4 linked regions of the Tamandua tetradactyla genome follow. Each later gene encodes a partner of the first gene's protein in a complex. Links are inferred from orthologs where the notes say so. Each region holds a gene or a part of one and is shown on either strand. Other genes may lie near its edges. The genes, in order: MED20, MED21, CCNC and MED26.

The links.
Region 2: MED20 (region 1) and MED21 share a complex: the UniProt entries of both Homo sapiens proteins name them as parts of the mediator complex. The link is inferred for Tamandua tetradactyla from reciprocal best matches to the Homo sapiens genes MED20 and MED21.
Region 3: MED20 (region 1) and CCNC share a complex: the UniProt entries of both Homo sapiens proteins name them as parts of the mediator complex. The link is inferred for Tamandua tetradactyla from reciprocal best matches to the Homo sapiens genes MED20 and CCNC.
Region 4: MED20 (region 1) and MED26 share a complex: the UniProt entries of both Homo sapiens proteins name them as parts of the mediator complex. The link is inferred for Tamandua tetradactyla from reciprocal best matches to the Homo sapiens genes MED20 and MED26.

What each region holds. Positions count from the first base shown.
Region 1 is NC_135331.1:99,518,320-99,526,009, forward strand, and holds the start of MED20 (mediator of RNA polymerase II transcription subunit 20), read right to left. Parts: upstream 3,006-7,690; 5' UTR 2,802-3,005; coding exon 2,788-2,801; intron 298-2,787; coding exon 143-297; intron 1-142. Other genes in the region: BYSL (bystin), read left to right, coding at 3,354-3,618, 7,038-7,200. UniProt on the Homo sapiens protein: Component of the Mediator complex, a coactivator involved in the regulated transcription of nearly all RNA polymerase II-dependent genes.
Region 2 is NC_135333.1:90,068,052-90,075,052, forward strand, and holds the start of MED21 (mediator of RNA polymerase II transcription subunit 21), read left to right. Parts: upstream 1-3,992; 5' UTR 3,993-4,042; coding exon 4,043-4,084; intron 4,085-7,001. UniProt on the Homo sapiens protein: Component of the Mediator complex, a coactivator involved in the regulated transcription of nearly all RNA polymerase II-dependent genes.
Region 3 is NC_135331.1:157,138,831-157,146,452, forward strand, and holds the start of CCNC (cyclin-C), read right to left. Parts: upstream 3,018-7,622; 5' UTR 2,735-3,017; coding exon 2,703-2,734; intron 1,900-2,702; exon of another isoform or gene 1,870-1,899; intron 1-1,869. UniProt on the Homo sapiens protein: Component of the Mediator complex, a coactivator involved in regulated gene transcription of nearly all RNA polymerase II-dependent genes.
Region 4 is NC_135337.1:95,127,185-95,134,454, reverse strand, and holds the start of MED26 (mediator of RNA polymerase II transcription subunit 26), read left to right. Parts: upstream 1-4,268; 5' UTR 4,269-4,310; coding exon 4,311-4,382; intron 4,383-7,270. UniProt on the Homo sapiens protein: Component of the Mediator complex, a coactivator involved in the regulated transcription of nearly all RNA polymerase II-dependent genes.

The sequences.
Region 1 (7,690 bases):
AAAATAGCTCCAGTCTAACAGATGAAGAAACAACAACTTAAAGAATTCAGAAACACAACTAGATCAGAAAGACTTTAGTGAACATGAATGTCCATCAACGCCAAGCCAGGTTGCAGCCATCCTACAGTGCAATCCCACTGACCTTGGCTGCCAAGGGTGGAAGCCGCCGTATGGTAGGTCTCACAGTCCACACAAAATGTTCCTTGTTTCTCTGCTCCAAGCATCTCCAATTTCCGGGTGAGGAGCTCCACAGTCTGCTGGACACTCTTGCCCTCAGCCACAGGCATCTGGGACACACTGGAAGGAAAAGGACCAAATCATTAGCATCCAGAAACACACATGCACTAGTATAGCCATTCAACAAGCCAACTGCTCACTCACAGCATCACAAGTCATCAGGAGTTACTTTAGAGACCACTCCACTCACGTGACTCTTAATTTTAAAGATGAAGAAACAGAGGCCCACAGTCTCTGAGAGTTCCTCTAGGAACTACAGCACAGGTTTCAGGACTCATGTACCAGTACAGTGAACTTCCCATCACACCAACATCTACTGATGTTAACTGTGCCATCATGCAAGAGATGTTAGGCTGAGTATTCAATAACACTGAATCACATAAAACAAGAGATTCCCTTAGTAATTTTTTTCAGTTCTAAATATATCAAGGAGAAAGTCTCAATTTGATTTAGTACTTTTTTCTTTTTTTTTTTTTTTACATGGGCAGGCACCAGGAATCGAACCCGGGTCCTCTGGCATGGCAGGCAAGCATCCTTGCCTGCTGAGCCACCGTGGCCAGCCCGATTTAGTACATTTTTACTAACTCTAACACTTTCAACTTATGTTCTTCAGTAGAGTAACAATTAGCCACATCTGGCTATTTAAATTAATAAAACAAATTAAATGAAATATTCAGCTCCTCAGTAGCACTGCCCAGATTTCAGGGGATCAATAGCCACAAGTGCATAGTGGAAAATGTTGATATGGAAAATTTCTATCATCTCAGAAAGTTCTATTTGACAGCCTTGAACAAACAGAAAGCAGAGTTCAAATTTATAATCTTTGGGAGTGGGAGGCAGTGGCATCTACAAGAATTTAATAATGCAGGAAAACGAAACATGTTATTTCCAAGATTTCCTTCTACTTGAGGGTGAGTGAAACTGGCTTCCCCTTTAGAGTAATAGATAACAAGTACCTACCATGTGCCAGACAGTGTACTTCAGGTGAATTAACTCTAAAATGGGGACTTCAGATGAATTAACTCTTCCAGTCCTCACAACAACCCTATAAGAGGTGTTATTATTTATCTCCTTGCTGCAAATGAGTAAACTGAGGTACAGAGAGGTTAACTAATGAGCCCAAGGTCAGACATTCTCTCTAAGGATGTAGTTGCCTGTTAAATAACATTTAAAGGAATAAACTTAAAAGAAAACATTAGTACCTAATAGTATAGCTGGTAACTAGCTATGGCAAAAATCATGAAGACAATCATATGCCTGTACTTTGGTAGACAATGCATTACTTTATGATCAATCGATTAAACGAAGCTAATAAGTTAGAGTCCTACTGCCGCTAAAAATTGTCACTACTATCTCTCAGAAAAAGCACGGTTATATAATAGTGATGTGACTTAATTTTACACAGAAGAGGATCCTAAAAACTAATGCTACAAGGATAAGTTCTAAGATTCTGAAAAAGTTGGAAAAAGATAGAAAGCACAACAGATAGAAAGGCCTTTCTCTCTGGATGCTTTCTCTTTTGAAAGACCAGGGGTTTCCAGGATTTCAAGCCTCTGTGCTGTGAACTTTTTATTCCCATCACTCACATATCTCCCTAACACCAGAGGACTCGAAGATCCTCTCGAAGGTCTACCGTGAGAAGCTAGGGCACAATCAGACAATCCTGTAAGAGCCTGAGTTACAAGAAAAAGCATTTCCCACAGGTTGTTATATGAGAAGTCAAGAGCCACTAACTTCGGATATCCCAGTCCCCAGTTCTCTCTGACAGGAAAGATGTGCACACCTGAAGACATTTTTTTTTAATGTCCTGAAACCTAACATTTTGTAACTAACACCTCCAAAATATTAGACCCACGCCTTTCCCTATCACCTTGCCTTCTTCCAACTGTGGCTTATAACATGTTAGAGAGAGAAAGCCCATAGAAAGTAGAACCTTGTAATTTAACATAGCAGGAAACAGGTCCTGTGAAGAGGTGAAGCAACTGCAACTCCATCTCCTAATTTCTAATAGTTTATTTTATATAATGGCCAATGTAGAACCAAACACTTTTTGTGGCTGTAGGGAGGGGCAAGAGAGACCTAAAAAAAAAAAAAAAAAGGCATTCTACTCGTTGCCTGACCACCACTTTCTTCAGCCCTGCTTGCGGACGGGTCCTGGTGCGGATATCCTATCCCCAAAGCTGAAGTACTCCTAGCAGTACCATAACATAAGGTGCAGGAAAATGTACGAAGAAAAAAGGAAAGGAGGTACACAACCACTGATAGGCTCCTAGGATTAAAAACTCCTACCTGCCCCCCCCCCCCCCAAAAAAAATCTTACCTGCTGCCTTCCAGGAGAAAGGAGCTTATCTCCGAAGAAACAGACCCCGAGAACCTGCAACCTTCGCGGGATCCCCTCACCCATATAACCCAGGGGCATTTTGTTCAGTTCCCTCAGGGTGTCGGAGAACCCCGGTCCCGCTACACCTCTCGGTCCAGTCAGGCTCCAAGGGCAACTTCATGATCCCAAAACCCGTCTCACAAAATCCCAAGTGGTCTGTGCAGTCTTACCAAGTCACTCCCATGGTGTCGGATGAGAGGGTGGCAGATTCAAACAGCTGAAACGCGGTGCTCTCCGACCGCCCACATTAAATGAAGCCCCCAAAAGTAAGCTTCGGTCGAGGGAGAAGGCACCGGAAGTTATATAAAAACAAAGCGTCCCATGGATGCGCCAGGAGGGTACAGAGACGTGCTTGGGCGCTCTCACCGTGACGTATGCAGAGACGTCACGCAGCCCAGTGACAGCTTCAGGCTTGGAAGTATGGACGTCCTATTTGGCTGGATACCCAGACTTGGATCTGCGATGCTTGGAAAGCATGGTTCGAACTGCCACCACTTACAGCAGTCATCGTTAAATGCAAAGAATTTATTCAGGATTTGAATTTATTCAGGGCCCGTGCGAACTTTTAGGGAGTGGAGTTGGGTGTCGCTGACGGCATTTCTGTCCTCCAATCACTCGGGGGCGCTGTGCTCTCCGCGCGGCCTGGTAGGCTTTGGAAGTTCACTGCACAAGCGCACTCTCGGCTGCTCGCCTCTGTCCCCACGTGTGAAGGTTCGCGGCCACTTTTTCGAGAAAAATGCCCAAATTCAAGGCGGCCCGGGGAGCCGGGGGTCAAGGAAAACTTGCGCCCCTGGCCGAGCAGATCCTAGCTGGGGACGCAGTGCGGGCCGGGACCCGGGAAAAGCGGCGGAGCCGCGGCACCGGAGAAGAGGAAGAGTATGTGGGGCCCCGACTGACCCGACGAATTTTGCAGCAAGCGAGGCAGCAGCAGGAGGAGCTGGAGGCCGAGCATGGCGCTGGGGAAAGGCCCATGGGGCCGAGGGAGCGCACCGCGCGGCTGGGTGAGCGGCCGGGAATGGGGTGCGAGGGAGAGAGTGGATACTTGGATGAATGGCTGAAAGGTGTCCGTCAGGGGAGAAGCTTGGAGTTTTGAAAAAAGTGCCCATATTACGCTCTTTAGAAAGTAATGGGATGGGAGACCGAGCCCTGAAGCGGATTTAAGGTGGTCCAACCCCACCTCAACCCACCCCTGCCCACTCCTAGTTTTAGGCAGTAAGATTCTAGGGGTCCTAGGCGCCCCTAAAATTAGGCCAGCGGGATGTGATCGCTCATTATCCATTAAATTGTCCTGGTATTTATCCACTTGCTCCATAAGTGTTTATAAGGAAGTTTGGATAATTTGGGTACAGAAACGAACAAGTTTGACACTGTCCTTTCCCCTAAAGCCAATCTGACCTCTCTACTACTTTCTGCGCTTGCTCTCTCCACTCCACCCCACCCAGCCATATAGCTTCATTGTTCCTTGAAGTTGGCAGATTAGGGCCTTTTCCCTGGTTGTTCTCTCTGCCTAGCATGTTCAGTTCCTATACACCTGCAGGCTTACTTGCTTAATTCTTCACCTTTTCAAAGAGGACTTTTCTGACCACTCTATTTAAAATTCCAGTACCCACATTCCAGTTTCAACAGTCCTAGCAGCGCTCCTTTGTCTCATTTTTTTTTTCCATTCCAGTTGTCTTCTTTTGACCCAGTGTATTGATTTGTTATGTTTATTTATGATCTGTGTCCCCCAGTTAAAATGTACCAGAGATTCTACGAGGACAGAAATTTGTTTCTCTTGTTCACTGATGTATTCCCAGTATCCTGAACAGTGCCCTACATATAGGAGGCATCAATGTTTGCTGAATGAATTGATTAAAGAAGGATGGTGAGGTACATAGGAGCTTTTGTAGACCTGGAGGCCATACCAAGATTTAAAGCTATCTAACATTGATCAGACCAAATGTGTGGTTCCAGAAGTTTAGATTGGCTGTAGAGTAGAGAATTTGTTGAAAGAAAGCAAGGTCAGTAGCATGGAGACTAGTTAAGGGATTGGTGAATGAATCTAGCAAGAAATGATGCTGGTCTAGGTTTAGAAAGGGCTGTGAAGGATTTGAGAGATACTCCATGAGGTAGAATCGAATAGGACTTCGTAATTGATTGGGTTTGCAGGCTGAGAATATGGACAAGGCAGGGCTGGGAGGTAGTCACCACAGTAAGTGGTGCAGTCTTGGGGAAAAGAATGAGTTCACTTGGTGACAGATGAAGTGCCTGGGTCATCTAAGGAGGGTACAGGAGAAGCCTGGAGTTAGCATCTGGATCTAAGAAGAAAGTATGGATTTGGAAGTTGTTGACATGTGAGAACAAAATATTTGTGTATTCCCCCTCCCCCCACCCTAATTTTAGTTCTTTCATCACACAATGCTCTGTTCTTAATGATCTGTTCCTATGTAGTATTTTCTCTCCTCGATTGGATTAGTACCCCTCCTCCCAGATGCCCACCAACCTCTAGTCTTCAAAAAATCAGTTACTCAAATTGGTTGTTGGATTGAAATAACTCCACTGCCTCACCTCTTAAGACTCTCCACAGTCTGGCTTCAATTTACCATTGTAGCCCTATTTCTTGCCACTACCTAACACAATCGAATCAGTCCCACGTTGCCAGGAAGGTCCACACCCCTGGGATTCATGTCCCACGCAGAGAGGGGGAGGGTGGTGAGACTGCTCGTCATGTTGGCTGGAGGGAGAGGCCACATCTGAGCAACAAAAGAGGCTCTCTTGGGGGTGACTCTTAGGCCTAAATTTTAAGTAGACTTGACCTATCCTTTGTGTGGGGTTAAGTTTCATATGAACAAACCCCAAGACTGGGGGCTCAGGCTACAGCTTTGGTTGTCCACACTGCTTGTGAGAAGATCAAAAATTCGACTTGGGGAGGTTGAATTTCTCCCTGCTCTCACCATTCCCCGAAGGGGGCTTGAAAATACTTTTCCACTCACTGATCAAATCACTCTGGGATTCATCGGGGCATCACTCTGGACAAACCAACAAAATCTCACATCCTACCTGAGATTCCAAGTACTTATGACGTTCAATCAAACTATCTACATAAGTTATATTAGGAAATGCTCTAGTCAAGATATAAATTTTGTAACAAATAAACATTTTTTGCTTTAGTCTCACACGTAAAGTGACATTTTAAAATATTAATTACCATCTATTTTCAGCACCCTGCAATAATGACATTCCTTTATTCTTCCTCATGCAAAAACATTTTTAAAATTTGTACATTGTACATTTCACTATTGTTATACACTCTAGGCATTCCTAGATTATACTATCTCAATCTTTAACATCTATCTTTCTTTCTGATTTCATTTATGTCCCCAGCCCTCCTCCCTCTATCATTTCCACATGCAGCTTCATTCAGTGTTTTAACATAATTATATTATAGTTAGCTAGTATTGTGCTGTCCATTTCTAAGTTTTTGTATCCAGTCCTGTTGCAAAGTCTGTATCCCTTCAGCTCCAATTACCCAATATCTTACCCTATTTCTATCTCCTGATGATCTCTGTTGCCAAAGACATATTCCAAGTTTATTCACTAATGCAGTTCATATCAGTGAGACCATACAGTATTTGTCCTTTAGTTTTTGGCTAGTCTCACTCAGCATAATGTTTTCAAGGTCCATCCATGTTGTTACATACTTCATAAGTTTATTCATTTAAAATCATGTTTTCTGATTCTTTTTCTTTTTTCGCATGGGCAGGCACCGGGAATCAAACCCGGGTCTCCAGCATGGCAGGCGAGAACTCTGCCATTGAGCCACTGTGGCCCACCCATCTAACAGACACTCTTGTAACAAAGTTCCATTTGCTAGTGTCGTCTGTCAGGTCTGGAACACCCTCCTCCAGCTCCCGTACTGCCTGTCCAGAGAGCCTGATTGTCCTCAGTATTCACCTAAATGTCTATGGTATACTGTCTCTACTACTCATTTTGGCATATGATCAAGCTTTCCTGTGCATGTCAAAGAATACGGACTCTATACCCAGATTTCCTTCCCTAGGCAGATTAACTTTTCTGTGCTTCTGTGTGTCCGTCTGCAACTGGATATAATAATAGTACCTATTTCTTAGGGTTCTGAAGGTTAACCAGGTAACATATGTACAGTGTTTAGAGCAGTTCTTGCTACATAACTGGGTATGTTGTGCTAAATACTATTTATTGGTGTCACTATCTCATTGTTTCATGTGTGTGCTTTTTTTCTTCTCAAGCAAGATTGTAAGCCCCTAGGGACAGGAAGATAGTATGTGCATCGTCTGTTCCACTGCACTCATCTATATTTCTTATAAGCACTTGTGAGGCTTATAATAGATAGTGTCAAATTTATTCTACATCCTTTGCCCTCTCCTTGCTATGCCCATCCATCTCTTCTCCCATTTTCTAGGTCCAGGAGTGCCACAGGATAGATCGGATGATGAGGATGAGGAATGGCCCACCCTGGAGAAGGCTGCCACAATGACAGGGGTGAGCCACCATGCCGAAGTGGATGTGGACCCTGAAGACGAGCGTGCCATTGAGATGTTCATGAACAAGAACCCTCCTGTTAGGTGGGTCTGGCACATCCTTGGATTTGGGATAGTGGATCCTGGAGGTGGATTCTCACAGGGAAACAAATGCCCTGGTGACTTTTGATTCCCTATCTTTGGAAAGGGCCTGACATTCCCAGGTGTGAGGGACGACTTTAACAAAACTGGTCCATCTTCAAAGGGAATGACCTAGATTTGGAATACATCGTCCCTCTCTGTGCACCTGTTCTGCAACTGTCCCAGCTAGTTGGGAAATTTCTCTGGGGAGTTATGTCCCATTGCATTTGGTCTTGGTATGCTCAGTTTTCTTAGTGGTGAGCTCAGTTTTCTTGAACAAATTTCTGTTATATCTTGAGTTTCATTAAACCCAGGATTTTTCAGCTTCAGCCCTATTGGCATTTGGGCCAAACTATTACTTGTTGTGAGGGCTGTCCTGTGCAACATAAAATGTTTAGCAGCATCCATGAGCTCTACCCACTAGGTACCAGTAGCCACCTTCCTCCTGATCACA
Region 2 (7,001 bases), on another chromosome or scaffold:
ATTATATAGATATCCCTTTTTAGTTCACAGTGTATTTTTTTTAGGGTAAGAAAGCTGTTGCTTTTTAATAGCATTATGACAGTAGACATGCCTGCTGATAGATCTTCCTCAAGAATTATTTACGTATAGCTGTTTACAACATAGTTTTTTTTAAACTGTTTTTAATATTGTATAACACATAAACAAAGCAAAGAAAAAAAGCAGTTTTCAAAGCATCCCAAAGTTTATCATGGGCTACCATACCATCATCTCAGATTTTTCCTTCTAGCTGCTCCAGAACATTGGAAGTAGCCTTGATTCTTGAAGAGCACTATATAATTATACAGCTTTTACAGTGTGCCCATGTAATTGTGAAACCCGTGTGGCTAATGCTTCCTTTTTCCAAGGGTATGGGCAGATGAGTAAAAAAATGACAATAAATAAATAATAAAAGGGGAATAAGGGGTTAAAAAATTGGGTACATTGCAATACTAGTGGTAAGTGATATGGAGAGGTAAGGGGTATGGGGATTATGGTTTTTCTTTTTTATTTCTTTTCCTGGAGTGATGCAAATGTTCTAAAAAATGATCATGGTGATGAGTACACAAATATGTGACAATATTGTGAGCCATTGATTGTATACTTTAGATGGACTATATGGTGTGTGAAGATAGCTCAATAAAAATATTTTTTTAAAAAGGAGGCTGTTCATGAGATTTTGTAGGTTTGCCAGAGTGATGCCCAGATAAATCCCAGAACGATTTGAACAGTGAATAGGGAAGTATTTGCAGAGTTCCCTAGGGGGAATGGTGAGAAAGGGGGAAAATTCAACTTCCCCAAGGGGAGAATTCTTGATATTCTCACAGGCAGTGGGAACAGCCAAAGCAATAGGACGAGTCTCCAATTTGGGTATTGCTCACATAAAACTTAACCCCGCAAAGGATAGCTAAGACTACTTAAAATTAGGCCTAAGAGTCACTCCCAAGAGAACCTCTTCTGTTGCTCAGATGTGGCCTCTCTCTCTCCGCTGATACAGCAAGCAAACTCACTGCCCTCCCCCTCTCCACATGGGACATGACTCCCAGGGGTGCGGACCTTCCTGGCAACGTGGGACAGAAATCCTAGAATAAGCTGGAACTCAGCATCAAGGGATTGAGAAAATCTTGACCAAAAGGGGGAAGGGCGAAATGAGACAAAGTGTCAATAGCTGAGAGATTCCAAAAAGAGTCGAGAGGTTATCCTGGAGGTTATTCTTACACATTAAATAGATATCACCTATTTAGTTAAGGTGTAATGGAGAGGCTGGAGGGAACTGCCTGAAAATGTGGAGCTGTGCTCTGGTGGCCATGTTTCTTGAAGATAACTATATGATGATACTGCTGTCACAGTTGGACTGTGTGGTTGTGAGAACCTTGTGTCTGATGCTCCTTTTGTCTACCTTATCGATGGACAAGTAAAACATACGGGTTAAAAATAAATAAATAATAGGGGGAACAAATGTTAAAATAAATTTAGTAGATTGAAATACTGGTGATTGGTGAAGGGGAGGGGTAAGGGGTATGGTATGTATGAATTTTTTTCTGTTTTTTTTATTGCTTTTTCTGAATTGATGCAGGAGTTCTAAGAAATTATCATGATGATGAATATACAACTATGTGATGAAAGTGTGAGTTATTGATTATATAGCAAGAATGGAATGTTCATATGACAAGAATGTTTGTGTTTGTATGTGGTTATGTAGCATAAAAAAAAAAAAAAAAGAGCCTGTTAGGTATTGAATCACGTCCTCCTCACAAAAGACATGTTCAGATTCCAACTCTTGGTCTTATGGGTGGGAACCCATTCGTAAATAGGACCTCAGAAGTTGTTATTAGTTAAGGTGTGTCTGAACTGAATGAGCCTTAATCCAGTATGGCTGAAGTACTTAAAGGCAAAGGAAATTGGACATGGAAAAGAAGCCACAGGAGCCGGAAAACATCAGAACCCAGAGAGAAAGGAGAAGATGCTGCCATGTGCATTTGCCACAGGTCAGAAGAGAAAAGACAAGCCAGCCCCAGAATGCCACAGTTTCAGTGAGAAAGCATTGCCTTGCTGATGCTCAATCTGGGACTTCTCCTAGCCTCAAAACCTTGAGCCAATAAATTCTTGTTGTTTGATCCAACCCATTGTATGCTGTTTGTTTTAGCAGTTGGAAAAATAAAACAGAGCCCATGGCCAAAAAAAAAAAAAAAAAAAAAAAAAAAACTGGGGAAAACAAGGATTCAGGGGCTTTGACTGAAGCAGAGGTTTATTTCACTCAGAAAATGATTGGGAGGTGAGGCTGGATCTCTTTGCTGGAGCTGGATTACAGCAAACCTTGAAAATCGGGTAGAAATAGTTGTCTTCAACCTGTAGTCTCTGCAAGGCAACTGAAAATCTAGAAGCAAGGTGTGTACTAATATGAGTTATCTTGAAGAGGCTCCTCTACTCCAGGAGCCCAAGTTCTCATGAGTCAGGCTGAAAAACTCAGTATTCTCATTTAGTGCATTCTTTCATTTATCCCGTCTTATCTAACCAATCACCAATCCATGTTAAATTTTCCTCAAAAACATGTTTTAGCCTCCTTTCTTCATTTACCAGAATTAAAATCCTAATTTAAATTTAACTCATCCCACTCTTGGATAACTGCAAAATCTTCCTCCTAATGAGTCCCTGGTTTACTCATCTTTGAAAATTCAGCGCCCAACATACACATCTGGCACACGGCAGGCATTCAATAAGGTACATGTATTGTACCAGGTAGGAGAAAAAAAGTCACAGATTCCCCCCAAACTATTCTTAACAAACTAGAGTCACCGCTCATTAGCCCCATTTTGAAAGAGTCGCCTCACCTACTTTCTAATAAAGCCCCAACAGGAACTTTGAAGGCTTAGGGATGGAGAGTGAGATGCCAGGAAAAGTCAGAGACGAGCCCTCGAGCAAGGGTTGGGATAAATCCAGCAAGAGAGTTACCCAATTGATTGTTTCCCCCACCCTCCTCCAACCCTAGGAGGGTAATCAGGGATAATCAGCCTAATCCTTGAGAAAGACGGTATCTGAGTTTATTCAAAGTCCACAAAGCTGTTATTTGCTGATTCTAGGCTCATTTCTTTTCAGGCTATCCCCCAAGCCCTTGCAGGATAACTTTCCTTAAATAACAAATTTACATTAGCTCTCTTCACACTTAAATAGGTCTCTATTCTGAGTCTAAATTGCGCTGAGTATCTTTTAAAAATGCAACCTACCCAACCTATGAATCTCGCTTATTTCCAGGAAACTCTCCTCTTCTGACTACACATTGTAAAACCTCCATGTTCCTCTCCACCGACCCTCCTCTTCTCTCACGCCTCACCTTAGCCCATGGAGATCTCACTACGCGGTACTTTTCTAACAGTCAATACAGCCTAGTACTCAGTTGTTTTGGACGGTTTCCATTTCACGTGCGTCAGACTCCCCAGTACACCCACACGCTGAATTAACGCGAACAGCTTGCACCCAGTCTCCAGTTCGCTAAGCCCTTCCGTGACCCTACACAACAAGGGAGGGACTCCAACCAGAACTTCCCGGTTGTCTAGTGAATTTTACTTTGGATTTTCTGAGTTTAAAGTCGGTATCGTGACTCCCAAGTATTTGGAGTTGCATGCTGGGTATATGTTTTATGGTCCACCTGGAAAATAAAAGTAACGTAAAATAAGTAGTCTAAGACGCTGTTATAAAATTAAAACATGGTGGCGGAGGGTAGAAAAAAATGCTTTAAACCCCCGCCCCCCACCGAGTCCCATAGTCGCCACAAAGTGTTTAACACCTAACAACCTCGAGAAGAGTTTCAGCCCTACTAGCTAATCGGACTCCGAACTGTCATCAAGTTCCTCAAAAAGAGTTCCAGCTGAATCAATTTAAAGTTAATCTGAGAAAGTCTTGCCCAGAGAGCACTCCGACTCCACCTCTTCTGACAACTTCACCCTGTGATTGGCCAAGACCCGACTAGCGCCGCCCAATCGCGCACGAGCAGAGGCTGCAGCGTCGCTTTACGTGAGCCATCAACATGGCGGATCGGCTCACGCAGCTGCAAGATGCTGTGAACTCGGTGAGTGGATTCTTTAGATTTGTCTCTGTCTACCCCTTTCCTAAGGTAAAGCAAAGGAGGAAGAGGGCCCGAGAAATAAACCTGGACGTGGGGACGGACGAAGGCGGTGCCTCAGTATAAAGTGTAGGATGGCAGGAGGCCCCTCGGAACTCTGGGAAGATTGAGGCGGGCAGCGGGGGCTTTGCGCAGAGCTCCTGGAGGGAACAGGTAGAGTGAGAAGGGGAAGCGTAGGATCTCTCTCCTTCCCAGCAGTCCACTATGATTCTTGTGCTCCAGGGTCCTGTCAAATTTTCTGAGAAGTTTTATTTCTTGTCAGTGGTGTTTATGGATTCTCTTCTAAGGGGGCGGAAGAGGGGGGTAGGAAGCAGATCTTTTTTTTTTTTTTTTCCGTTATCGGTACTAATACACCAAGGCGACCCGTTCTTGGTGTTCGAACCTTTTTTTAATGAAGAAATTGTGAGTTTACAGAAGATTCATGCATAAAATACAGGATTCCCGTATTAAATACTTTTATTAAAAACTTGCATTGGTATGATTCATTTGTTAGAGTTAACGAAAGCTCATTTTTGTAATTTATTAACTGTAGTCGATGGCTTAACTTACAGTTTACTATGTTGTGCAGTTCCTTGAACTAAAAAAAATTAACCACATGTATACAACATAGCATTTCCCGTTTTAATTACATTACTAGATATCTAATTCATTGCTTTTATACATTCAAAATGTTGTGCTAACTTCACCACCATCCATTACCAAAACTTTTGCATTGTCCTATATAGAAACCCTCTATAGTTTAAGCCTTAATTCCCTATTCTCTACCTCCACCGCATTCCATAGTAACCTGTATTCTGGATTCTAACTTTATGAATTTGCTTATTCTGATTATTTCATATCAGTTTGATCATACAATGTGTGTCCTTTTATATCTGGCTCATTTCACTCGGCATAATGTCTTCAAGGTTCATCAGTTTTATCACCTGTATCAGAACTTCATTCCTTATTCTGAATAAAATTCATTTGTGTGAATAAACCGCTTTTGTTTAACCATTTATTAGTTGGTGGACACTTGGATTGTTTCTATCTTTTGGCAAGTATGAATAATGACGCTATGAACTTCGGTGTACAAATAGTTTGAATCCCTACTTTAAATTTTTGGGGGATATATACCGAGTAGTGAAATTGCTGGGTCATATGGTAATTCTATACTTAACTTTCTGAGGAACTGTCAAACTGTCTTCCCATAGTGGCTGCACCATTTTACATTCCTACCAGCAATGAATGAGTATTCCTGTGTCTCCACTTCCTCTCCGACACTTGTAATTTTCTGTTTGATTTTTTTTTTTAATAGAAGCCTTTCTAGTGGGTGTAAAATGGTGTCTCATGATTTTGATTTGCATGTCCCAGATGACGCATGATGTTGTGTATATTTTTATGTGATTTTTGGCCATTTATTTATTAGAGAAATGTCTATTCAAGTTTTTGCCTATTTTTAACACTGGATTGGTTGTCTATTTGTTGAGTTGAAGGATTTCTTTATATATTACAGATATTAATCCCTTATTGGATATGTGGTTTCCAGATGTTTACTCTCATTGGGTAGGTTGTTTTATGTTCATGATAAAGTCTTTTGCACAAAATTTTCAAGTTGGTTGAGGTCCCATTTATCTGTTTTTTCTTTTGTGGCTTGTGCTTTGGGTATAAAGTTGAAGAAACCATTTCCTAATACAAGGTCTTGAAGATACTTCCCTGTTTTTTCTTCTAAGAGTTTTATAGTTCTGGCTCTTATATTTAAGTCTTTGATCCATTTTGAGTTGATTTTTGTATGATGTGTGAGATAGCGGTCCATCTTCATTCATTTGTAAATAGAGATCTAGTTTTCCCAGCACCATTTGTTGAAGAGATTCTTCTTAACTGATTGAGTAGTCTTTGCCCCCTTGTGAAAAATCAGTTAGCCATAGATGTGAAGATTAATTTCTGAGTTCTCAATTTGATTCCATTGGTCTATATGTCTGTCCTTGTGCCAGTACCATAGATGTTTTGATTACAGTGGCTTTGTAAAAAATTTTAAGATCAGAAAGTGTGAGTCCTTCAACTTAGTTCTTTTTCAAGATTGCTTTGGCTGTTTGGGGGTCACTTTAACCTTCCATATAATTTGATGATTGGCCTTTCCATTTCCCTAGAGAAGATTGTTGAAATTTTTATTGGGATTGCATTGAGCTGTAAGTCAATGTAGAGTTGACATTTAAGAATATTTAGTTTTCCAGTCAATGAATATGAAATATACTCTCATTTATTTTGGTCCTCCTTCATTTCTCTTAGCATTGCTTTGTAGTTTTCTATACACAATTCATTTACATCCTTGGTTAACTTTATTCCTAGATATTTGATTCCTTCTTCTGATTATTCATTATTAGTTTATAGAAACACTACTAGATTTTGTGTGTTAATCTTGTACCCGACCACGTTTGTTGAATTCAGTTATTAGCTCTGGGAGCTTTGTTGTAGATTTTATAGGATTCTCTGTATGTAGGATCATGTTATCTGCAAATAGAGAAAGTTTTACATCTTCCCTTCCAATTTTGATGCCTTTTCCTTCTTTTTCTTAACTAATTTGCTCTGGCAGAAATTCCAGTACAATAGTGAATATCAGTGTGACAGCCAGCATCCTTGTCTTTTTCCTGATCTTAGAGGGATAACTTTCAGTTTTTCCTCATTAAATATGATATTAGTTGTGGGTTTTTCATATATGTCCTTTATCATGTTAAAGAAATTTCCTTCTATTCCTAGCTTTCTGAGTGTTTTCATCATAAAGTGGTGCTGGATTTTGTCAGTTGCCTTCTTTACATCGATTGAGATGATCATGTTTTTTTCCCTTCATTCTGTTAATGTTAATTAATATTGTTAATTAATTGGTTTT
Region 3 (7,622 bases), about 58 Mb from region 1:
CCATACTATTTCAGACATACAACATCAAATACTTAAAAAAATAATATTAAAGTTCAAACTTTCTATAGGTCTTGTACATTAGTTTTTTCTTAAGTACTTTATATTTTCTGTTGCTACTGTGACTGACATTTTTCTATCATTTATTTAGTAAAAAGCCTTTAAGTTTGTTTTGTAACTGATCACCTGAAATCTGTACTGTCTCTAACAACTTTCAATGAACTCAGTTTTCCAATTAATTATCTCTAAATATAATTTTGTTTTTATCTCATTTTATTAACTGCATTGACTAGCATTTGCAGAATGTTGAATAGGTACCCTAATTTTGCTAATGTTTCACCATTAAACTATCTCTTGCTGATGCTTTGCTGTTTTAATCATATTAAGGAAGCATCCTATTTCTGTTTTAGTAAGAAATTTAATCAAGAATACATGCTAAATTTTATTAAATGTCATTTTGTATTTTTAGAACATTCTTTTTTCTCCTTGATACATCTAGCAATAGTTTCTGGTCTACTGTTTTAGTTTTCCCTTTAAAAGAACCAGCTCTTAAAATCTGACCTCTTTTCCCCTTTTCAATACACTAGTATGTGTTAAGTCCTTCTTTCTGTTTTCCTTAGGTTTATATGTCAATTTTATTTTTAATAATCTTAAATAGAGTATTTGGCTTATTTTTATTCAGGATGTTAATTTTCTTGTAAAGTTCAGTTTTGGCTATGTTCCATAGATATGGATATATACTGATCTCATGTTATTTTCTAGATACAATGTAACTGTATTTTCAGTTTACTTTTTGATACAATAAAGTAACCAAATTTGGTTATTTTTGTTACCTGCTCATTTCATTTATTTGAGCAACCAGCAAACATTTATTTAGTGCCAGTTTCACAGCCGTATCATCAGAAGATGTGTTTTGCTCTACTTAAATTTTCTGGAGTAGAATGTGATGTGCTCTATTCTGGGATTATCATTAATTTTATCTCCACAAAGTCCTTTTATGAGATAAATTTCACAAAATCTTTAAAAAGTTTTCCCCTCAGCACTTTAAAGGGAGGAAAAAACAAATTAATAAATACTGTATTTCTTCAAATCAAGGATTCCATTCATTGTAAGACTCAGCATTATTTCATGTGCTACTAAAAAAATTGCCATGCTGATTTCAGAGATGCATGTCAACTTTCCTCTTTCACCAAAATCTTTGCTGTGTACCTAAAGCAGTGACTTATCATAATCCTGTTTTTCCAGACTTGATTGTCTTGTCTTTCATACTTGTCACCTTTTGCAGATCAGGGACTCCATGATTCTTAAGGGAGTTGAGTGAGGTAAAGAGGTTCCTTCCCCCAGGAATACTGAATTGGGAGGTAGGTACGGTTTTTAAAAAGCACATTTCACATTATAATTTTGCATCCGAGAAGTAAAAAACGATTGTTTTAATAAGGACAACAGCAAATAAAATCATATTAAGAATGCATATCAAAAAAGGGGGCAGGATCTACTTTTTTAAGTTGAAAAACTGCTCTAACTTTTCACAATCAACAGTTCTTTCAGCTTTCTTCAAAGTCTACAAAGTTTAGTAGACTAAACTTTCTATATTTTAACTTTGCCCAAGCAATTATTTCAGCGAGTGGAAAACACAAAATAAAAATGGCAACAATCAGAAGTGTAGCTCTTACAACATTTCATCTCCAATCGCTTTAGGATAAGAGAAAAACCTGCTTTTCTGAAAACAGTTTTCCAAGCCCATTGTTCCTTTTTTCCCCCTCTGTAAAGGGCCAAAAAAAGGGGGGAGAGGGAAATGAACAAAAAGAACTGATATTAGTCACAGAATCTTAAAGTTACAGTTCCTAATGCTAAGTACTAAAAATTACTTACTCTAAGATACATTTTTCTTTATCGGGTTCGGTTCATCTTTCACCTACACATGGAAAGTCTAATCAATGTTTAATAAGTCCATCATCCATCTTCCTACCTGCTTAAACAAATGTATTCAGAGAGAAATGTTTTAAATACTACTCTAGCTCTTCCAATGGTCGCTGACAGAAACAAAAACCTACTCATGAAAAAGGTTAATGAAATCGGCATATAAAATCACTGGAAAATATATTTATAAAACAAAATACAAGACAGACTAAAGAAACAGATACAGTTTCAGAGCACCTGCCCTATACCTTACCAGCATAAAACTCCATCTAGGCATAGAGTAGTGGCAGGAATCAATTAACGAGCAGAAACAAACTGGACTCCCTCCTCTCCTTGGAGTATTATTAAATCCACTCAAGAGAAGAGGGATAACGACTGTCCCATTCTCTGAGAGTTTCCAAGCAAAAGCGAGCATCACCTATCCTGAGGAGCCAGATTCACAGTCCAGAACTGAAACACACTTTCCATACATGTGCTCATACCATCCTATCCCCACGGGCCTAGCTAATCCAACAACCTTAAATTACACTCCTAACCATGCTTTCCGGGGATCGCTCCTAGACCCATTCTTCAGCTCACAGATCCTTCCCCCAAAACCCGGTCAGGGGGCGGGGAGAGGAGAGTAGCCTCTGAAAAGCGAATCCCGCTTCCGGCCGCTGCCACCTCTCGGGAAGACCTTGCCGCGCTTGGGCCAAGAACCGGGATCCAGGCTGCGAGAAGTGGCAGGCCCCATCCTCATCGCCCTCCAAAAGCGGACCCTGGGCGGGAAAACCGAGAACACTTACTAGTGGGAGCTCTGCCAAAAGTTCCCAGCCATGGAACACAGCTTGCCCTGATAAAAAAACACCAGCCGGCGGAGCGGCCCGCGGAGCGACCATAGACCCAGCCCGCCGGGTAACCGCACTCTTCTATCTGATCAGCTCGGCTCCGCTCCGCGGCGGCTACGGCAAGAGGAAGAGGACGGCACCTTGTTCTCATAGATGCCGGCCGACAACACGCTGCTGCGTAAACGCGTTCCTAAGGACAAAAGTTCCGGCCCGCCCCATGGTAGCGGAGGAAACCGGCGGGGAGGAGACGACATGTGGCCGCGCCGGAGTTGGTATTGGTGCTTACGAAGGGTCACGGCGGACGGAAGGCTCTCGCGAGAGCTTCATAGATTCGGGCCTAAAGCCTGTAAGGTTGGCGCTTCTGCTAGGCTAACGTGGGAGAAGCGTCTAGCTCTGATTGGTTAGTTTATATCCAAAGCCTACAGGACCTCTCGATGTTATTGTAATAAAGCACGGTAATTTTCTAACTAGATTTTAATCCCCCGCGGGATTGAAAAGAGAAATAAATGAATTTTGTTTTGGCTTCACGGACCTACTAAGACCCGCGGGCATCAAACCCCATGCGTTCTTAGTGGAATTCTTGGAGTGATAAAAGAGCAAACTTTTAGAGCAAGTGTTTTCTTCTTATACCTGAGACCCACCAGTTTTGCAGAACATCCCCAAACATTTTCATATATATGTGCATTAAAGAGAAATACTGCAAAAAAAATGCAATATTTTATAAGATGAAATAAAATCATGTTTCTTTATTTTCCTTTTCTATTATCATTGTAACATTGCATTTATTTCAAAACTAATTATTTTTCTAAATAATTGGACACACCTGGAAGTTGTTCATAGAAGACCAGTTTTCCGAGGCAACTTAGACATTTTTCCCACAGCGTGAGAACAAATAAGATGTGAAATTATTTTAGTGAATGTGGCACACACTTTTTTAAATTAAGTAGAATAGAAATGCTCACAGTATGTCAGAAATAAGAAAGATAATTGTCATTTTACAATTTTTTATTCAATTATGTATAGACATATGTAGTGCTCCAAGATGTGAAATGCATATATTACTGTGTGAGTTAGTCTGGATAAACTAGACCAGGCTAAAATGTGGTAACATCCTTCCCCCTTTAGCTCAATGATTTAACATAAAAGTATTTTATATGTGACTTCCATAAAGTCTCTTTTTATATGTGACTTCCATAAAGTGAGTGAGCTTGCCCTTCTTGGTGGAGTCCTCCAGATCTTCAGGGAACTAGTCTGTTTCTATCTTACAGCTGTTCCATCTTTTTATTTTATTTTATTTTTTATTTTTTTAAATACCAAAAAACACCAAGCAAATGCAAACATTCCTTTTTTGATCATTCCGTTCTACATATATAATCAGTAATTCACAATATCATCACATAGTTGCATACTCATCATCATGATCATTTCTTAGAACATTTGCATCTATTCAGAAAAAGAAATAAAATGAAAACAGAAAAAAAATTTATACATCCCATACCCCTTACCCCTCCCTTTCATTGATCACTAGCATTTCAAACTAAATTTATTTTAACATTTGCTCCCCCTATTATTTATTTTATTTATATTCCATGTGTTCTACTCGTCTGTTGACAAGGTAGATAATAGGAGCATCAGACACAAGGTTTTCACAATTACACAGTCACGTTGTGAAAGCTATATCATTATACGATCATCTACAAGAAACATGGCTACTTGAACACAGCTCTACATTTTCAGGCACTTCCCTCCAGACTCTCCATTACATCTTGAATAACAGGGTGATATCTACTTAATGCGTAAGAATAACCTCCAGGATAACCTCTCAACTCTGTTTGGAATCTCTCAACCATGGACACTTTGTCTCATTTCACTCTTCCTCCTTTTGGTGGAGAAGATTTTCTCAATCCCTTGATGCTGAGTCTCAGCTCATTCTAGGGTTTTTCTCAATTCTTGGATGCTGAGTCCCACCTCATTCTAAGATTTCTGTCCCACGTTGCCAGGAAGGTCCACACCCCTGAGAGTCATGTCCCATGCACAACTCCTCCATCTTGACATTCTTTGCTTTCAGGCTTATAATCTATCTAAAGAAAGTATGCAACCTTTAATCAAAAACAACACAGTCACTTCCTCCAACAGCTCATTGACCAGAATAGGCACATGACTCCAATTTAACTGCAAAGGAGGCTGAGAAATGTAAAGGATCATGTAGTATATGTGATGAACATTACTGTCTGCTACACTGTGGATCATAGTAAAAAATTTTGTAAGACACTGGTTTAAGAAACACCAGACCATAGGCTGCTTCAAAAAGGTTGCAGCATTTCTTCAAATATCTTAGAGTTTTTTCCTTGGCCTGGCATCACCAAAAAAATATTAATAATATATTATTTATCAGTATTATTAATCTTTAGGCTCCTATTAGACTTTGTTTCTGTCACTGGACTACCACTTGATTCTGTTCTTATTCACAGATTAGGGTGTATATATGTCTATTCTATGGTGTTGGATGGCAGCCTGAAAGACTGGTGCTCTTCTCTGTCTCACCCAGAACTCAATCTAGATGGAGAAGCAGCAGGCATAGCCACTGAAACACTTTAAGAAAATCAAAGCACGTCTGCTTGAGGCAAAATATTATGCAGATGAGATAAACAATTGAGCTTCTGGGCCTGGGAGGAAAGGATGCGAAGGATTTCCTGGGAAAGAAGGACATTTGAAGTGTCCATTTATATGGGGGGATGTACAAGGCCCTGCACACTCACAGGGCTAGATACGTGCTCAGAAAAACCTGACAGGACCCAAAGCATCTTCCTCAGACTCTTCTTTAGATTCAGGGCAAAGTTGGCTGAGTGTTGAAAGAGAGTCCCAGCATGAAAGCAATCTGCAAAGACTGGGTGAGGTGTATTTTTCTGTTATTTCTTTTGTTTTCTTGGCTCCCTTATGTAAGAAAATCTCCATATTTCCACAAGCTGAATATAAGCTAAAGGAACAGAGATTTCAATGACTTTACATGTCAAAGAATATAATTTTTGCATGGTTTGGAAAAAAATCCCTAAACACATAATACTACAGCCTTCAGTATTAATAAGAGGAAAAAAAAAACCTAGAAAAAGGGGAGAATAACTCTGATTTCCAGAGTTAGCACATTAAAAGTTCAACTCCAGATTACAATGAGAAATCAGAAGACATAAAAGAAACAGGAAAAGGTAGCTCATTCAAAGAAATAGAATAGAGTGATAGAAGCCATTCCTGAGAAGTTCAGATATTGGAACTACTACCAAAAATATGTTGTCAGCTATCCTCAATAAGTTCAATGAGCTAAAGGAAAATATGAAAAAGGAACTAAAAGAATTCAGGAAAATGATAAATGAAGCAAAGGAAAAATTTGATAAAAATATAGAAATTATAAAAAGGATCTACCATTTGGTGGCTCCTTAAAAAATGAAATACCGAGTTGCCCTATGACCTGGCAACTGAAAGCACTGACACAAACAGACATTTGCACACCAATGTTCATAGCAGCATTGTTCACAATTGCCAAAGCATGGAAACAATCCAAGTGCCCATCAACAGATTAATGGATGAACAAAATGTGGTATATACATACAATGGAATATTTATACAGCAGTAAAACAAAATGATGTCCTGAAGCACCTGACCAGATGGATGAGCCTGAGGACATAATGCTAATGAAAGAAGCCAGACACAGAAGCATAGTTAATGTGTGATTTCACTGTTATGACCTTGATAAAGGTAAACTCAGAGGCTTATAATACAGAATATAGGGGACCTAGAGATACATGGAAGCTAGAGATGGGTGAACAGTTAGCTGGTGAGGTTGAACTTAAATGTAAGGGAATGGATAGTAGTGAAGGCTGTTCATAAGTGGGTCTGTAAGTGATATTGCCATATTGAAGGTGAACGTGATTGAAAAAGGTTGGATAGAGCCATGTATCCCACCAATTAACACTACAAATATAAATAAGTTTTTGCATGAACTACTGCAGAGGTATGAATCTTGTACAAAAAGTTTATAATATCAGGAAAACTACTATTGCATGTTATAGGCTATATTTAACAGGAAGACATCAACAGTACACAGCAATACCAGGGGTAAATATTTGGTGGGGGGGGGGGGGAAGGACAAGAGTTAAGGGGAGGTTTGGATTTTCTGTTTGGTGAGAGTGTGTTTATTGGTTATTTTTCTCTTGGTAGCAATGGAAATTGTCCAAAGTTGAAACTGTTGATGATCATACCAGTACGTGATGACAATGCAAGAGATGGACTGTTGACTTTAGACATTATACATGATGCCCAATGGATGGAGGTGGCTGAAGGATACACTGAGAATGGAATTGTAAACTATGCTGTAAACCTATGATCAAATATTGTACTGCTGCAGAAAGGAATGAAGTTATGAGGTATGCAACAATGTGAATGAGCCTGGGGGACATTATGTGATGCAAAATAAGTCAGAAACAAAAGAGCAAATATTGTATGGTTTCATTTAGAAAACAGTTATAAGAAAATTGTTATTTTTAGATTTTGAGAGGCTGTGCTATGTATATGTATAACATGGTATTTCCCTAGAACTTTCAGTACCTGTGTAACAACTAAGACTCAGGAAAGGAGTTCTGTGATGTGAAAATCAGCATTGCCACATACAACAATGGTTAAGTAAATTGAAAAAGAGATCAGGCTTCAGTTAGAGATAAGAATGAAGCCAATCAGGTTGGGAAAAAGTGGATCAGAATACAGGGGTAAGGAAGACATCATCTATATTTTAGAACTTCACCTACTCTATAGGACCAAAGCAAGAGAGATTTATTTTTCCCAAAACCTAATTTTTTTGTAGCCCCTAATCTAACTTAACCTATCTGG
Region 4 (7,270 bases), on another chromosome or scaffold:
AACTGCGTTTGATGTGAACACCTGTGGGAGCACTTTACCTTCCCTGCCAACGTATTGTTTTTCACACTGGGATGCAATTCCCACCTTCAGTTTTGAGAAGTTCCACTGGCCAGTTGAGGCTCTTCTAGTTTTTGCTTCTGTCTGCGCCACCCTTGTGGCATCTCCTGTTTTTCAGCATCAGCCCCCTAGCCCCTCTCTGTGTCTGCTGTCAGGGGTGGGGTTGGGGAGTGCCTCTAACTGGTTTGTGTTTTTCCCAAGACATCTGGGAACGCTGAGATGTTGGCCCATTGCAGTCACCATCCAAAATCCAGAATCCAAGTCACTTAGTTGGATGATTGGGTATCCAGCGAGACAGGAGCAGAGAAAACCTACTGATGGGTGGTGAGATAGAAGTCTATCCGGAAAAGTGGCAGTGGTTGTGGCTGAGAGGGCCTCACAGGGTAGACAGAGTGCTCGGACATGGCAAGGTGCAAGGCTGCTGAGCTCTGGGAACAGAGGAGCAAGATGATGCCAACCATGCAGCAGCTTGGGGAAGCCAAGCAGGTGAGACCAGGCACAGCACAGGTGAGGGGCAAAAGGAACATGCCCAAGACACATCACAAAAGAGAAGTCGAGAGGAGAGGGAGCAGGAGTTGCACAGCCTTTGGGCCAGAGAGCACAGTTTTGATTCAGAAAGATCTGCCATGGGATCCCAGCTGCATTTGGGATGTTAAGTAACCTGTAAACCTCAGGCTTCTCCTCACCTGTAACTGGAGGATGCGGTCGTAACTGTGTTTTGGTTTATCTATTGCTGTGTTACAAATCCTCCAATATTAAGTGGCTGAAAACAGCCCTTGCTTAGGCTTGGTTCTGTAGGCAGGACGGCTCAGTCCCTGTGGCCAGCTGGTTCCTTGGTTCTGCTCCACAGAAGCCCAGGCCTCCCCCTCTTGCTATGTGGCCCCCCAGAATTCTCCAGAATTCTCACGAGGCACCTTGGTGTGACAAGGCCTCCTTCTCTTTTTTTAATTCACAATTTATAATTCACATACCATAAAATTACCCGTTTAAAGTGTAATTTCAGTGACTTTTAGTATGTTCAGAATTGTGCAACACTCATTAAAATCTTAATTCCAGAACATTTTCATCACCCCAAATGGAAACCACTCACCAAGTAAGCAGTGTTTTCCACACCTGACTCCCCCAAGCCCCTGGTAACCTCTCATCTGTGTTCTCTGTGGTTGCCTGTTCTGGATCTTTTGTTTGAATGGACGCATACAATATTTGTCCTTCAGTGTCTGGCTTCTTTCACTCAGCGTCATGTCCTCAAAGTTCATCCATGTCATCGCATGACCAGAACTTGGCCCCATTTTATGGTTAATTGATACTCCATTGAATGGACAGACCACGTTTTGTGTGTCCATCATCTGCTGATGGTCATTTGGATTGCTTCCACCTTTTGGCTATTGTGACTAATGCTGCTATAGGCACTGGCATACAAGTCTCTGTGTGTGGATGCTTTCAGGTTTCTTGAGTAGGATTCCTGGGAGTTGGATTGCTGGGTCAGGTGGTAACTTCCAGAACTTCTTATGGCTTTAGCCTGGAACAAGCAGAGCATCGCTTCCACTGCATTCTTTTGGCTAAAGCAAATCACAGGTCCAGCCGTGTCAAGGGGAGTGGATGGCACAGGGCCTGCATACGGGGAAGTGGGCTTCCTGGGGGACCCCATGTGAAGTCCTCAGGGCAGAACCTGATATGTACTTAACAAAAGCTACTCCTTGCTTTTATTTTCTTTATTACTAACAATAATGACCCACAATTGGGGCTTCCACACTAAGGAAGACACAAACTGCTTGGATATAGGTGTACACTCATTGATGTCAACCTGACAGCAAATCCATCACCTCCACTTTGGAGGTTATATTGGCATGCTTTCTGATTAGTGCCAGATTCAGGTGGTAAGAGCTGTGACACCTCCTGGAGATCATGGGCTGGTCCCAGCGCTTGACATACTAGACGAATAGGGGCAGTACATGCTTGTTCTAAAAAATATAGAATTACAGGAAAAAGTAAAAATCACCTGTCATTCTACTTGCTAGTGATAACTACTCTGTTAAAGTCAGGCCACAGACATGGGTCAAGGTGGGGTAGTATATTTTGGCACATTTTTCCTACTAGTTACCAGTGTCCTCCCTTGCCTTATTGGGGGAAGTCCAGTAACTTCCCCTCTAAATAGCCCAGGGCTCCCAGGGTCCGGCTGAGGGAGTCTGGAGAGGCACAGCCCTGCTCTCTGCAGGAGGGAAGTATTGAGTGCCCTCCTACCATGGCTCCTGGCAACACGTGGCACCGCTGCTGAGGACTGGGCCAGCGCAGCCCTGGCAGCCGGGGTGCCCTTCTGCTCGTGCATCTCCTGATTCCTGCTTGGGCCCCAGTCCCCTCCTGCCAAGTATGTCTCCAGATGCCCTGTGTTCGTGCTCCTGGAACTTCCTCCACAGCCACCTTTCCAGGGCATTAGCCGGTCACGGACTCCAAACCACGGGCTCTGCTTTCTTGGAGCTGCTCTTGAAGAGGCGTCTCCCCCTTTCAGGGGCATTCCAAGCACAAAAGATCTTGTCCTCTCAGGACACTGGGGCCACTGGTCTCTGTACCTAAATAATGGTCACATGGTCAGGGAAGAACTATTACCAGAAGAGGGTTTACATCACGCCCCACCTGTGCATAACTGACAGGCGCCGTTGGAAGTCTCTCTTCCTTGAAGCAGGTCCGTCCTGAACTTCGGAGAAGCAGCGGACATTTCAGGACTTCTGTCCAGCGGCTGTCTTATTTCATCTATTCCCCCTTCTCTGTGAAATGTTAAATGCGGAGTAAAACCGTGTGTGCGTGTGTGCATCCACGCGTGTCTTATCTATACAATCATCACGAAAAACTCATCGAGTCTCGCTGCGCCAGGCCCGTGGGACCGAAGGTGTGCACGTGTGTGTGGGTATGCACACGGTCACGGGCTCCTGACGTGCTCACTCACCTACCCGAGTCTCCGACGTGCCCTGGGGATAGGGCGGCGGGTCAGCGCCCTCACGCAGGTTCACGGTTAAGGTTCTCCCTAGTTTAAAAAGAGCAGGTGAGTTGTATTCTCCAATATTTCTTAATTTGAACCCCACAAAATAAAAGGTTTACTTCTACGGCACTATCGTTATCTATGCATGTGTAAGCTGTTATTCATCTGAGTTAGAAACCAGGAAGAGGCACGCGGAATGGACCCCGGGCAGGGCTGGCGGGCGAGGCCGGCGACCCCCGGAGGCCCAGCTCCGGCCCGCAGAGCGCGGCGCTCGGAGCCGGCGGGGGCTGGGGGCTCGTCCCGCGCGCAGACGCGGCGCTCCTGCCGGCCGAGGCGGCCGCCCTCCCTCCCGCCGTCCCGGGCTCCCGGGGCCGCTCTGCCCGCGCCCGCTGGGCGACCCTGGGCCTCAGCTGCCCCGTTTGTGACGCGTGGGCCGGGGAACGAGGACGTCAGTTCTCCGGCGTCTCCCAGCGAGGCAGGCGCTGGGGTCCTTTAAGCCTCCTTCGGGGCGCTTCGGGCAGCGTCGGGAGCCGTCTGGGCCGTCCCGCGCGGGGAAGGGGCGGCCGGTGGCCGGAGGCACGGTGCTGCTCCATAGAGCCCGCCCGGCCCGCGTGGCAGAGCCCCGCCTGGGGCGCAGGGGCGCGGCCCGGGCTCTGAGAGGCTGGTGCACCCCCAGCTCGGCGGGCAGAGCCCGGCGCCGCCGCAGGCACCTCAGGAGCAGCGGCCAGGACGCCGCGAACGTTTCCGACGGCCCGGGCGGGGGCGGGGCCTGCTGGCGGTGGCCGTTGCTCCGCCCAACCGCCTCCCAACGGCTTCCCTCGGCCGGCCGGCGGGGCGGGGCGAGGCGGCGGGCGAGTGCGCCTGCGCGCGCGTGCGCCGACGCGTAGGGCAGGGCGGAGCGCGCGGCCCCTCCCTGGCCCGGCGTCTCCGCCCGCCCCATCTCCCAACCTCCTCAGCGTGGCGCCGACGCTGCGTACGGCGCGGGTTACCCACAGTGCTCCGCGCGGGGGCAGCTCACTGGAGTTTGGTTCTCGAGGCGGCGGCAGCGTCGGCGGCGGCTCCGGCGGCTCCTCCTCCTCCTCCTGCGGCGGCGGCGGCGGCCCGGGCCCGAGTCCCGGCCCCGGTTCCCCTCCCCCGCCGCCCCGCGCGTCCCCAGTGCCCCGGCACCGCAGGGAACATGCGGCTCCGCTCCCGGGGGCCGGCGAGTGAGTGACCCCCGGCCCCCGCCTCAGCCCGCCCGCCCGCCGGCCCTGCCGCTCCCCCCCGCCTCGCCCAGGCAATGACAGCGGCTCCGGCGTCTCCGCAGCAGATCAGGGACCGGCTGCTGCAGGCCATCGACCCCCAGAGCAACGTGAGTACCAACCTCGCGGGCCGGGACCGAGGCCGCGTGGGCCTGGGACCCTCCTCGTCCCCCTCCCCCGTGCCCCTCGCCCGCCCGGCCCCGGGGGACCCGCCCGGCGCCCCCCTCCCCCGGACGGTCGCTGCCATCCCGGCCTCTCGCCCCCCTGAGCCCAGGCCAGGGACAGATCGGGCAGCCCGGCGGCGCTCGGTACGTGAGGCCGAGGCTTCCGTGCGGCCTGGGCGGAGGGAGCAGACGGGGGCTGACGCCAGAGCTCGGCCTTTCCTCCTCCTCCAGCTCTCTGACCCTCGCTGCTCTGGACGCGGCTCACCCGCCTCGCCTTCACCCTGGGATCTGAGACCCCCGAGAAGCCCTCCCTGTGAGGGCATGAGAGGGAAGCAGTCTGGGTGCAACTGGTGTCCTGGGCATGACTCGGGGTGCCCGTGTCTGCCCTGTGTCGGCCTTCTGGGTGATCAGAGAAGTCCTTTCTCCTCACGCTTGGGAGTACCTTCTTGTTTTCGGAAGGAATCCTCTCCTCCCCTCCCTCCTTGCTTTGCCCCTAGCCTGGTGCCCAGGCCCTGGCAGAGTCCCCTTCCGTTTTGTGACTGGACCTGCCTTTGTGGGATCCCTCTCGGGTTGTTGTTGTGGGAAGATGATCTTGGGGAAGGTGGGATTCTTCCTGTGGCCTTCCTGGGTCTGACTGACCTGGCCAGAGCTCTGCTTTTTGGGGGTGAATTAGGGGTGGTGGTTTTCTCTCATGGTCCCCTCCCTTTCCCCCAACCTGGGGGTCCCAGCCCGGTGATTTGTGACCTCTGTCTCAGGATTGTCACTTTCTCTGTTGCTCCTCCCCAGAGGCTACTGTTTTGCAGAGGTAACCCCCTACTCCGTGTGTGTGTGTGGGGGGGGGTGTGGGGGGACTTGCTGTGCTCTTCCTTGTGCTCCCCGAGGCACATTGGCAGAGGGGGCACTTCTCTCTGGAGCAGGTGCAGGTTGGGCAGTGGGAGGATGCACTGAACTTCTGCGTTTGCTGGCAGACTAGGAAGTGGCCATTGAGATTACTGTGTGGTAGGCTGGAGATGGAAGGAAAATCATCTTGGGCTTGGCCAAGTAACTCTGTTTTCTCCCCTGTAAGAGTTCTTGTTCTTTTGTGACTCTGGCCACTTCTTCTCAGCAGTGTGTTTTGGTCTGGTAGTTTGGGAATAATTCACACTCAGTTGTGCAGTTTTGCTAGAAGTTGAGGGATTATGGTCTTTGTAAGGCTCTGACTTTGGTGTCTTAAGTCATTCTCTTATCCCTCTTTTTCAGGTCCCATTAAGATTGACTTGCTGATAAATTGTCTCAAGCAAATGTGTACGGTTTTGTTATGACTTTGGGGGTGGAGTAGGCACAAGCTATATAAAACCTTCCAGAATGTCCTTTTTTGCAGTAACTGATGCTACTGCGGTTCTTAAGTCTGAAATATTAAAAACAAGTGACATGAAAAATGTAGCTTTGGTGAGTTTTGCATCTTTTGTCAAGCCAGAGTGTAATTTCTTGAATTTCATGTGCTTGCTTCTCTCGGGAGAGAAGGGGCTGCTAAAATGGTAGCGCTGACCCTTAATGCCACCTAGGAGAGCTTAGGGTCAGGAGGTGCTTCAGGACATGTGGGCCATGACGCTGCACATCAGTGCCCATGACCTTGGAGGGGCCCCACTGTTTTGTAAGGCTCTAATCTAAAGGGTTCAGCACAGATTGGGAGAGTATAGGGAGAGGGGCTAACGAGGGGCGGAGAGAAAGAGTGAACCTTAATTTCGTGTGCCTTGGCATATGCATAAACATTATATTTATACAGATCTGCGGTTGCATTGTGAGGTTTGGAATTCAGATTTTGACTCTGGTCATAGCATGGTTGAGTCCTAGGGTGATGGATGGGGTTGGGGAGTTGTGTCTCTGAACCCATGAAACTCGATGGAAGTGGCTGTTTTAAGTGTTATCAGTGACTGGGTTCGACCACAATGTGGCTTTGCCTGAGCCCCATGCAGAAACTTCGCAGCCCTGGAGAGATGGTTGAGGGGATGGTGGGGAGGCCTGGTGTGTCCATGGGCCTGCAGCACCTCCCGGCTGGCCTGGACATGGGCGGGAGCGGGGGTCCCAGCCTCGGCATGGCTGCCACGTGGCTGTCTTGCCCAATTAGGAATTTCAGTTCTGGATAGGTGGTTGACACATATTTAAGATGTGTGTAGGAAAAAAAAATGGGGACAGTGTTGAAGAGCCCACACTAAAATTAAACCTCTTCTGTGAGAAGTGATGAAAATTGTGTCATATAATGTTTACCTTTATGGACACACAGTTATGGTTAAGAAACTTAGATTTTGCTTGAAAATTCAACCTTGGACAGCTGACCTAGTATCCATAAGTATCTGCAAGGCTGGGGAAGAAACAAGAATTAACAGAGTAACATTTCCTGACTACCTTCTTCATGAGTTCCTATGAGGAAAGTTGTTTTTTGTTCTAAATTCCAGCCTCTGGAGTATTTGAATTTCTACAGCAGCAGGCTCTGAGTTAATACTTTCCTGCCCACTCAGAAAAAGTAAATCCTCAGCACTCTTTTTCAAAAAGCAGTTCTCAGTTTTTCAGACCGGTTGAAGCCTTATTCTTTTCGGGCTGTGCGTTAACCTAGAGCGCTGAAAATGTTCAGCCGTGCAGCGTGCAGTTTGTCCCAGCTTAATTCCTGCTTGTGAATGGAGTCGAGGGTCCTGTCGTTCTCTTGCCCAGAAGCCACAGTGTGTCCACTGGCCATCGGAGCCCAGTGTCCTCAGCAGGTGATGGGGCATTGGTGTGTCTCCAAAGCTGTTGTTTCACTCAAGTACGAGCTCTCTCTTCTTGACTAGAATGCAGGCTCTGGGGCATGTTTCACTTCT